Linked DNA regions of Xenopus tropicalis. The protein of the gene in region 1 purifies or fractionates together with the protein of each later gene. This does not show direct contact. Links are inferred from orthologs where the notes say so. Each region holds a gene or a part of one and is shown in the gene's direction. Other genes may lie near its edges.

The links. The genes of interacting proteins can lie anywhere in the genome.
Region 2: the proteins of slmap (region 1) and strip1 purify together in Homo sapiens (affinity purification with mass spectrometry; 4 studies listed by BioGRID and IntAct, with this or other methods). This does not show direct contact. The link is inferred for Xenopus tropicalis from reciprocal best matches to the Homo sapiens genes SLMAP and STRIP1.
Region 3: the proteins of slmap (region 1) and stk24 purify together in Homo sapiens (affinity purification with mass spectrometry; 6 studies listed by BioGRID and IntAct, with this or other methods). This does not show direct contact. The link is inferred for Xenopus tropicalis from reciprocal best matches to the Homo sapiens genes SLMAP and STK24.

Annotation. Positions count from the first base shown.
Region 1 is NC_030680.2:148,148,659-148,152,311, forward strand, and holds part of slmap (sarcolemmal membrane-associated protein), read left to right. Parts: intron 1-711; coding exon 712-852; intron 853-1,733; coding exon 1,734-1,871; intron 1,872-2,556; coding exon 2,557-2,725; intron 2,726-2,804; coding exon 2,805-2,855; intron 2,856-3,653. UniProt on the Homo sapiens protein: Associates with the striatin-interacting phosphatase and kinase (STRIPAK) core complex, forming the extended (SIKE1:SLMAP)STRIPAK complex.
Region 2 is NC_030678.2:72,085,098-72,088,850, forward strand, and holds the start of strip1 (striatin-interacting protein 1), read left to right. Parts: upstream 1-1,161; 5' UTR 1,162-1,168; coding exon 1,169-1,294; intron 1,295-3,753. UniProt on the Homo sapiens protein: Plays a role in the regulation of cell morphology and cytoskeletal organization. Required in the cortical actin filament dynamics and cell shape. Part of the striatin-interacting phosphatase and kinase (STRIPAK) complexes.
Region 3 is NC_030678.2:121,371,322-121,375,074, forward strand, and holds the start of stk24 (serine/threonine-protein kinase 24), read left to right. Parts: upstream 1-1,506; 5' UTR 1,507-1,632; coding exon 1,633-1,674; intron 1,675-3,753. UniProt on the Homo sapiens protein: Serine/threonine-protein kinase that acts on both serine and threonine residues and promotes apoptosis in response to stress stimuli and caspase activation.

The DNA of each region.
Region 1 (3,653 bases):
CACCCTGTTATGCTGATATGGCGTAAAAAAAAAAATGGCAACTGTATCAGTGTTAGAATCTGAAACTGGTGGTTCACCGTTAAGTTAACTTTTAGTGTGTTATAGAACAAATCTAAGCAACTTCAATTGGTCTTCGTTTTTGTCATAGTTTTTAAATTATTTGCCTTTCTCTTTTAACTCTTCCCAGCTTCCAAAATGGGGGTCACTCACCCCGGCAGCCAAAAACACTGTTAATCTCTAAGGCTCCAGTTTTATTGTTTTTGTTACTTTTTACTCCTTATCGTTCTGTTCAGCCCCTCTCCTATTCATATTCCAGTCTCTCATTCAAACCATTCCCTGGTTACTAAGGTAATTTGGACCCTAGCAACTAGATCGCTGCTGAAATAGCAGACTGGCTAGCTGCTGAACTTAAAATTAAAACTGAAGACCAAATGCAGATTGTTTTAAAATATAATTTTCTGCAGTGCACTAAATGGGGCTGCTAATTATTTCAGTGGGGACTGTGGGCAGCAGTCCGGCTTGTCTCTGTATATCAAGCAAATATTCTTCTTACAAAAAACCATTACCATTATATACATGGTGAATAGCTTTAGTATCCTATGTTGTATACAAAGTATATATTACTGTAGTAGGTTTTAAAAGTATTAAATGCGGTCTGTTATTCATAATCTTGGTAGAAAAGCTGAAACTTATTATTAATTACTGTTGCAGAGTCAGACGGATGATGGAATAAGAAAGGAAATGATCGCTTTGCAAGAAGACAAACACAACTACGAGACAACGGCCAAAGAGTCCCTGAGGCGGGTCCTTCAGGAGAAGATAGAGGTGGTGCGGAAGCTGTCAGAAGTAGAGGTAAAGGCTTGTTTGGTGATGAAGATGTGAGATTTGTGGGTTTCTGTAATGAGGATCATGCCTTAGGGCTAATTAAATCATTTGAAGGAGAACTAAACCCTAAAAAAAACTTAATTCACCAGCCTAAAGTTTCAGCATCTATATAGCAGTAATGATCCAAGGCTTCCCAGGAGCTCCCCATCTTGGATTTTGTTAGGAGTGTCAGTGACACTTGAACATGCTCAGTGTGCCCCGGGCAGAGTTTGGGAAGCAAAGCTTAGGGGTTGTAGCAAAGAATCAAACAGAAAATTAGGTTGGCCTGTAATATAATGCTACATGGCTTATTATTAAATTCTTATTGCTGTACTGATTTCAGTGCTGCCGTGTATTCATTTCTAATCAGCATTATATTGTGGCATTTATATTCTATAGATACAGTATATTGTGAGTTAGTCGCTAAGGGCAGCACAGAGCATGTTCTCGGAATCAGCAGAAAAGTAGATGGGGGGCTACTGGGGGCATCTTCAGGAGCACAGATCCTCCCTGCTAAAGGGCTGTTGTTGCCTTGGGTTAGTACAAAACCCCAGAACATAATATGCAACATTTTAAGCCTACTTCTTACTTGTCCTTTAAAAAATGTTATTGACACCAGCATTGATTTAGTTATAAGGCAAAGTCTTATTACCCCATACAAGCTATCATGGGGGAAATAGTAAGCCTATAGTATACACACTCTCCTGTGTGCCCCTCTTATTACAGGGGCTCTTCTGCATTCACCAAACTAGAATGGGTGCCAGAAATACAGTTTATGGAAGTGTGCATTTAGTCTGACATTGTCTTGCTTATGGCTCTGAGCCACAATTCTGTACTCACATGTGCCTTTGTGTTTCTTTTAATCCCAGCGGAGTCTGAGTAACACAGAGGATGAATGTACCCACCTGAAGGAGATGAATGAACGCACTCAAGAAGAATTGCGGGAATTGGCCAACAAGTACAATGGAGCCGTGAATGAGATTAAAGATCTTGCAGACAAATTGAAGGTCAGTTCCTGGTACCTGGCACAGTTGTGTTGTGGCACAGACGCCTGTTCTTTCTACCGGGCAGGGTTGGTTGTTGGCACAAAGGACAGTTCCTACTGCTTGGTGTCATTGTTGGATGCAAAGCCCGTGTGGCATGGATTTATAGAATCAAGGCCAGCCCACTTGTCCCAAGTGTATTATGGTTGGTTTCTTCGTGTGCGTTCTTTTGGATTCTTATGACAAATGTTTTGGCACGAGATTGCATCTACATGAAATTAAAAATAAAATAGCAATTGCTTTACTATGTAGGGCAGCTTATAGTCTGTCTATCTATTCATATTCTAGAGGGAGTGTTGTCTGGTTTTGTGTTGCCTTGGTGTAAAAATTAATTGGCTTGGTCGATTGGCATTAAATTAATTGTCTTCATTCACTCATTAAGGTGAAAATTGGTCTTATGGAAATGGAACACAGGGCAGTTTGGAGCATTTGGTCTCCCCAGTGCTTTGTAGCTGGCAGGGGAAAACCCAATCCCTTTCTGTACCACTTGCCATTTAAATGAATGGAAACTCACAGTTGTGTAAAAATCCATGGCAATGACAAACAGCACAGACGGGTACAGGGCAATGCTGCTTAAAGCGGCACTACTTCCAGTAACAAAGCCACGTGGCATACGTATAAAGTTACCATTTAATTGCACCTTTTGTAGGCGGCAGAAAGTCGGCAAGAGGAAATCCAGCAGAAAGCTCTCGCAGAGAAAAAAGAACTGCAGAATAAAATTGATGAAATGGAAGAGAAGGAACAGGAGCTACAAGCTAAAATCGAGGCCTTGCAAGCAGACAACGACTTCACGAATGAACGACTTACCGCCTTACAAGGTGAGTTCCCCGTGTTCTTTGTAGTGTCCTGCCCCCTTTGCTTAGCACGGCTTTTTTATTTTTGGAATTCTGCTTGCAGTACGATTAGAGCATCTTCAAGAGAAAACACTTAAGGAACACAACAGCTTAGGTAAGTGTTGGAGTTAGTTAGAGGCAGTAGCTGACGCCAGGGGAAGGCCTACACCTCCGACGAGTTGTATGATTGTGTGCCCAGTCCGTCCTGACATCTCTGTCTGCTGAACGTGCCAAGTCAATATTCCCAGTTTCTGCCCCGTTCTGGGGCCCAAAGAAAAATACATATTATCATATACAGCATGGGTTTCAATTGCCGCCCCTAGCGGAGGGAGGGGGAGTCAGAATACAGACTAGATTTACATTAGCTCTAAACATAGCAGTTTGTGTTGAATTTACTGCAGATATATCAGTACCTTACATGACCCAGGTGCCACCAGAACCCGGTTGCCCATTTAAAAAGCAATAAACGTGATGCATATAAAGTTGGAAATTTAAAAATATATACCGTATGTTTGCATTATAAATAAAACTGGTTTGGCAACTATGGGATCCTGTGTTTAGAGCTGGAGTATTTCAGATTTAACCATGCTCTTAATGACAAGCAATGCCCAGTTGTTAGGGGTGCGCCAAATCCACCATTTTACCATCAAGCCAAATCCTTTGTGAACGAGAGAACGGAATCCTCATTTACATATGCAAATTAGGAGAAGGAGGAGCTAATGAAGACCACGGGCCTTTCTCATGGTGAAAGATGTTTGTGACAAAAAAATCACGGATTTAAGGAATTGGTTCTCCCAGAGGCATGGAGTCGCCTTAATCTGAATCCTGCTGAAAAAGATCCTGAACCGAAACCTGTGCATCCCTACCAGTTTTATTAAAAATGAACTTTGTCATAGGGCTGTTGGGTCATTCC
Region 2 (3,753 bases), on another chromosome or scaffold:
ATATATATATATATATATAATCTGTTCTTTGTGTTTGCTCAGTTTCCCTTGTGTAATATTACATTTAAACTCGGAAACAACTCGCTTTGCAAATATGCAGTACCAGGTAAAACAATGGAGCAGCAAATACTTTTTCTCATCACTGTAATTACAAACTAGGGTGTATGTTCTATGGCCCCATCCTACTAAATTAGCAGGGATCTCCACCTTCACCAGGGGGTCCCAATTAATAGTCTGATGGACACCTAGGCCCCCTGAATGGTAAGCCCTGTCTCAAGTAAAATAGGGCCTCAACGAAACAAAAATTGCCCCTCCTATACAGTGTGTTCTAACCTGTCTCTAAGCTTAATTTAAGACAAAACTCCAACAAAACCTTGCCCACTCATCCACAAGCCCCATCCCTTTTAAGAACCTGGAATCATGCCTTTTCATCTCAGGACACCTGACTGCTGATGTACGTGTACTCCAATAATGATTGCCCATTATCAGGGGCCATTTAGATAACTTAAAAATGTAAATTGTGCATTTCACTTATCTATGGATAGCTAATGTGTGTTGCCTCATTTTACAATTTTACTTTTTAGAAACATCAGGTGCACAATTTGCAGCGCTCATACCCTAGATCTGGACACTTCCTTTTGCTCAATTGTATAAGCACTCTGACAACGTTACAAGAGTTTCTTCTACTGAAATTTTCTGACTGTAGTTTGGTTGATAGAACTGACCAGCAGATGGTGCTATTATTTCAATTTAGACGCATTAGCTGTGTAAAAACGTTTACCAGCTTAAAATCTATGAATACCTAATAAAAGTGGCAAGAAGCCCAATTTTACATGAATGTATTTAGAGTTAACGTTTCCTTTAAGGGTAGCCGGCTTTCAAACATCGCTGTAACTGCAGAGAATACATGGTTAGATATATAGATAAATGCAGGTCTCAGCAATAAAATACATGTTATGTAGACAGGAATATACAAAACACTGATTATCACACTGGTGCCGATACATCAGTCTCTATAAGCCGCCCAGTTTGTCAAAGAAAGGGCGAGACTCTTCATACTATCGCGATGTTTGGAAAGCAGAAACAGACACGCCTTGGGCTTTGCGTTCCACCGCAAATGTTCTACTGAGACGGCGGTGTCACGTCACGTGGGCGTCGCCTGAGAAAGATGGAGGCTTCCGGTTCTCTGATTGTCAACAACAAAATGAGAACAGGAATCGGTGGTGCGGTAATTGGCAGCCCCCAACCGGGCAAGGGACGAGAGTACAACCGTACACAGCGCAAGGATTCAGAGGTATGAGTAAAAGTGGTTGTTATGTATAACTATATTGCATTAACATTTGTGTTTGATTAGTACTCAGTTATCCTCGAATTACCCTTGTAATGTAACTGTGTGCCAGCTTTTATGCTTACTTAGTGACCGGGGTATGTCTGGGGAACCTGTGACAGGAAGACAAGACAGTTCTTACCTGATTAAAAAGCCCATTCCAAAAGGAATCTCACATCAGTTTTGCGAACTATTCTAAACTGCTGACTTGTCTTAGTTTTACTGTTCACCAAAAATATATATTATAGTTCTTCGTGGTTGCTGTCATGTTAATATAACCTATAGTTATCAAAAATATTTAATTAAATCTCCGTCATCCTGAAAGTTGAGCATTTCATTTAGAATCACACATTATATTCCTGTTCTGCAGGAAGATGCTGTGACAGAAAGGCACATGTACCTCTGCAAATGTAGTGAGAAAAGTGCAGTTTTGAGCGTAATTGCTGCAGGTTTTTGAAAAAATGTTGCTTTTTCCCCCAGAATTTGAGTCATTGTGGTTCTCAGTGGAGTGATACGCCTGGCACAATTGCTCTGTCTATTGCAGTTGTATCTGATTTGCAACTGTGTACCCAAAATTGGATGCAATTGCGCCAAAATCCAGCTGGCGTCAGTTCTACTGTTTGGTCTGTACCTGATTCTTTAGGTGCAGCAAGTGTGTGGCAGCTCCAGGCTTCCCCTGGTGCAGCAGCTCTCAATTTGGAACGGAAGGTAGGAAGGAGAACATAAAAGTGGTGCTAGGTGCAGCTGGTTGGGGGGAAACTGGGGACCACTATTGCACTCGTGGACGTAAATGAGCCCTAAAGTGTTCCTGGAAATATCATGCCCATGTATTATTCAAAAAGTTGAATTTAATGCAAAGCTAAGATTTCACCACTTGCACCTTTCTCAGGGTGGAACAAACAAATGGTATTTGGGAGCAGCTGTGCATATTGTAAAAGTAACTGAGGAGAGAATTCTTTGGGCTGTAAACATGATTCAGACTTAAGAAAATAGTATAAAAATGTACCACTCTGTCACATGGTTTCACAGAAAATGCCTGAAAGTTAGTCTGAGGGTAGAGGGCCCTGGGTACTCATGAAAATATTTCAATGAGCAAAAGATCTCCTAGCATGGCCTTGCTTTTACTAGTGAGATTTTTTTTTTTTTATTGGTCTGTGTTTACTGCTTCATCACCTGGGGTTTACAATTGCTCTCGTAATGTGTTATGCTATAATGTGACCCTATTCCACGGTTACTCTAAAGAACCAGGTTGCAAAATGAAATCACTTTCAGTTTCATTGTTTTCCCTGTTAAGTAAAAGAGCTACTGAAAATATTACCTAAGCAAATTAGCCTTTGAGGAAAAAAGGTGTAACACGTACAGTGTCTGAACATCTATGAATAAAGTTAGGTCTCAAAACTGATTACATTTAAATCTCCCAGACTACTAAGAAATATGGTTTTGTTTGCATCAGTCTTATGAGAAAGAATTGATATCTTTCGAAGTTATAATTTTTTTTTTCTTTCCAAGAGTGCAGTCATATTCTGTGACTAGTTGCAAGTGCATTGAAAGCTGTCCACACATAATTCAGCGTGGAAATGCAATAATAGGTATTTGTATTTGCTCTCTGTGAGTGAACAGGTATATCCCTTGCCTAGAAGTGCACACAGAGGGGGCAGAAGGCAGCAGATCAGCTTTTCTCTGCTGGTGTATCTACAGCAATGGGGAAAAAAAACATTCCATGTGCCATTAGGGCGAATGGTCGCAGCGACTTTCCCTTCAAAGGATCCTGTATATGTTGCTGCGACTAATAGCACACAGGTTTTCGCTGCGTAGAGAAATCGCAGCGACTTTTTAAAGACTTATGCCGACTAATCGCCTTGTGTGTCTTCACCCTTAGGGCTCTGGCACACGGGGAGATTAGTCGCCCGCAACAAATCTCCCTGAAAATGTAAATCGCCGGTGGGATGGCATAAGCGGCGGCGCGCTTTCACTGAAATCGCGGAAGTTGCCTTGAGAGGAAACTCACATTTTTTTTACATTTTTGCCGGTGGGATGGCATTTCTGGGAGATTAGTCGCCCGCGAACAGGGAGATTTGTCGCGGGTGACTAATCTCCCCGTGTGCCAGAGCCGTTAGCCTTCCAATGTTTTTGGATAAAAGGTTTTTTTTTATGACTTTCTGGGCTTTTGTGTCCAAAGAATGATCAGATAAGACATCCTCTTACCACAGATATTAGTTATTTGATTTAAAGGGAAGGTCTGAAAATTGTTGTTAGTTTGACTGTTTGGGTATAATCTAACAATCTGATAATGATAGAACAATTTGACTGGTCCATCTCCCAGTCTCTCCTGTGAACTATCATATTTCCAAGACCGCAGTCTTCATGTTGATGATTTATTGTTCTACAGTATACATCAAAGATGACCATTTGTTGGTGATACTATT
Region 3 (3,753 bases), on another chromosome or scaffold:
GCCAGTACAACTGATTCGGGGAGGGAATTCCAGAACTTCACAGCTCTCACAGTAAAAAATCCTTTCCAAATATTTAAATGGAACCTCCCTTCTTCTAAACGGAGTGGGTGCCCTTGTGTCCGTTGGAAGGACCTACTGGTAAATAAAGCATTAGAAAGGTTATTATATGATCCCCTTATATATTTATACATAGTTATCATGTCACCTCTTAAGCGCCTCTTCTCCAGTGTAAACAGACCCAACTTGGCCAGTCTTTCTTCATAACTGAGACTTTCCATACCCTTTACCAGCTTAGTTGCCCTTCTCTGGACCCTCTCTAACTCAACAATGTCCCGTTTGAGCACTGGAGACCAAAACTGAACAGCATATTCTAGATGGGGCCTTACCAGCGCTCTGTAAAGGGGAAGAATAACCCCCTCCTCCCGTGAATCTATACCCCTTTTAATACAGCTCAAAACCTTGTTTGCCCTTGCAGCTGCTGCCTGGCATTGCTTGCTACAGCCAAGTTTATTATCTACAAGGACTCCAAGGCCCTTCCCATTATGGATTTGCCTAGTGCAGTCCCATTAAGGGTATACAGGGCTTGCATATTTTTACATCCCAGGTGCATGACCTTACATTTATCCACATTAAATCTCATCTGCCACTTAGCTGCCCAGATTGCCAGTTGGTCAAGATCCTGCTGCAGGGATGTCACATCCTGGATAGAATTGACTGGTCTGCAGAGTTTTGTGTCATCTGCAAACACTGATACATTACTCATAATACCCTCCCCTAAGTCATTTATGAACAAATTAAACAAAAGTGGACCCAGTACAGAACCCTGAGGGACCCCACTGAGAACCTTACTCCAAGTAGAGAATGTACCATTAACAACCACCCTCTGTACCCGATCCTGTAGCCAGTTTTCTATCAATGTACAAACAACATTACTAAGACCAATAGACCTTAGCTTAGAAAGCAGTCGTTTGTGGGGAACGGTAAAGTGGAGGCAAGTTTGTGCTGCACTTGCTGGTTTTCCCCTTCTGATACCTGTAGCCTTGTCAGTACTAATACAGGGGTATATTGTGCCTGATTACTCTCCCACACTAGATAGGCATGAACTAAACGCACCCTAAGTGCAGTAGCGCCTCCTGCTATACAGGCACCCAGGGGTGGCAGCTGTGTCTCACCCAGGGGCAGGGGGAAAGCTCCCAAGGGAGAGAAGCAGATGAGTCCGATTAAAGTGACATGCCATTGCCCTGGCGAGAGTGAGGGCGCAGGAGGAGCTGTGTGAGGGGAAGAGACAGGAGGAGGAGGAGGAGGGTAGATGGGTGGTTATTGCTCTTCTTGTTTCCTGCTCTAGTTTTCTGTACGAGAGAGGAAACCGTGGTGACATCGCCTTGTATCTACTGCAGCCTCAAACTTGCTTCTCCCCATTTCGTGTGATCATTGGCCTCAGCCGCCGCCGGAAATCCTCCTCTCCAGCACAATAATAAAGCCAATCTCTTCCTGCTCCCCAGCTCTGCCCCCGGCTGCTCCTCCTCCTCCTGGGCCCGGACTCGTAGGCAGAGGGAAGCCCGGGGGACCGGGGAACACTCCTCGGTATCGCAGTGGATGTAAGGGCCGGGGTTGTGCTGCCGGCACATCAGTATGAGTCACTCCCCGGTGCAGCCCGGCCTGCCTGGGATACAGGTGAGCTCTGCCGCGTCCTACCTTCGCCTTTAGCTTGGCTTTCGACCCCTTCTGGTATATATTAGTCTGTCTGCGGCCCTTCAGCAGTTGAACTACAACTCCCAGAAACTTGGCTTGCATAGAATGCTGGGGAATGGAGGCTGGATAGTGTGAGTAGTTAGTACAGCTGCTGGGGGGCCGCAGGTTGGACATCTGAGTGCAGGTATTGATGCTCCAGGCTACAGATCAGGCTAGAAATCAAGGCATTTGGGACCTTATTCCATTGAGTCTGCATATTGAGGTGCATGGTTTGCCCGGAAACCTTTAACTCATCATACGGGAAACATTACTGTTATTGGCCACAGTCCTAGCACATCTGTGGGAGCAAATACGAGTTCACCTTGCTGCCCCCCCCAAAATGATCTTCAGCTGGCATTTATTGTGGGAGTTTTAATCAGATTAATCAGATCAGCCCATTTTAGTGGCTAAATCCATTTATACATCTGGTTCATTTATATGTAATTGCTCATAGTGACATGTGTAATGGTGCTGGGTGTCCCTTACACTGTGACTTTCTGTTACACACCTACATTGCTTTCCCATCTACTACAGCTGTGTTGAGTAAAGAATCCAGATCCAATAATTCTTTACACACTGAGTAAAGCAACTGACATAAACATAAAACTGTGACATAAACATGCTTTTTGTTTATTAACAATGGAAACTTTTTAGGCCTGTGCCACTGTTTGACATTTCTGTAAGTAAAGTGCTGGTGTGGCTAAGGGGAATGGGGAACAGTGACTAAGTATGTGAGAGGCCGCAATTAAGTTTAATTTTTATTCTTAAATTGAATTTTTGTTTCTATAGCTCCCCAACTTGCCAGTTAAACCACTACTTTGACAGTGACCATGTGCTCAATATCAGTTTTCTAGTTTGAAAGGGTTACTAAATCTCAATTTAAAATTGACAGGTTAAATAAAATAAATGTAGTGTATAAATAATATTAATAATAATAATAAGGAATAAGAGTCTCCGAAAAGTAGTTTAGATTCTATCTGCCTGTAACATAATCCTTAGGTTAAAGGCCTTGGACTTCTTAGATTAAGTTGCTTTATAAAGCCCTGCATGAGATAAGCTCTTATTAGTGCCTAACAGGATAAGAAATACATATTGGCATCTATTTAGAGGTGCTTTCTGCATTATGTTTTCCCATAACCCTTTTCTGCTGTTTGTCACCATTTGCCTTGAAATAAACTCAAGCAGCTTTGTAAAACGACTGTCCCATATTGATGGGTAGCAGTGCAGTTACATACTAAGGTCCAGATCAAATTGTAAAATGTTGTTCTTTTACAAAGGGGTCTGTGTTGCTCTTGTGACTTAGGGCCATAAAAATCAATTTGAAGACATCATGCAGCCAACTGATTAACTTCTAGGGTGGGGACGCTTTTCTGCACCTCTGTCCCACATAGGAAGAGATACCTTGTACATTACTCGCACTCATTACTGCAGTAGAAAAACTGGTCATTGAAACCAACTAGTTTTACAGGTCCCTGGCCTTTGTGCTGCAGTGCAACTTGTACCTCACTGATTACAGCTCATTTACAATTTTGGCAGATTATCTACAGTGTGATTCATTCACAAGCATTTTGGGTGTATTCTTGTCCATTGTAATTTGCCACTTTGATTTTTACCATCCCCTTAGGGTGTGGCACTTTACCAGCCGTACTTCTGGTGGCATCTTTGTCAGCCTAAATGTTTGTTATGGTAGAATTTTAACTGGTCAGACAATGCTTTTATTAGCATTGTATATAGCTCTTAGTCTCCCCGCCCCACCAAGAGAGAACTGTTCCCGGCTCACAGTAGTTCAGGGGGCTCAAATGGTAATCAACCATGTCCATGTAAGCATGTCCAAAATACATGCACTTTTGACTGGGTTTACTGAGAACAGGCACTGGAACAACTGCAGAATGCTGACCAGAGCTTCACCTTAATATGGGGTTATAGGGCTGTCATGGAACGTTTCCAATCTAGAAACATGCATTCCCATAAACAGCATGACTACATTGCAGGACTCTTTAATTTACTCATTCTTTATTCATA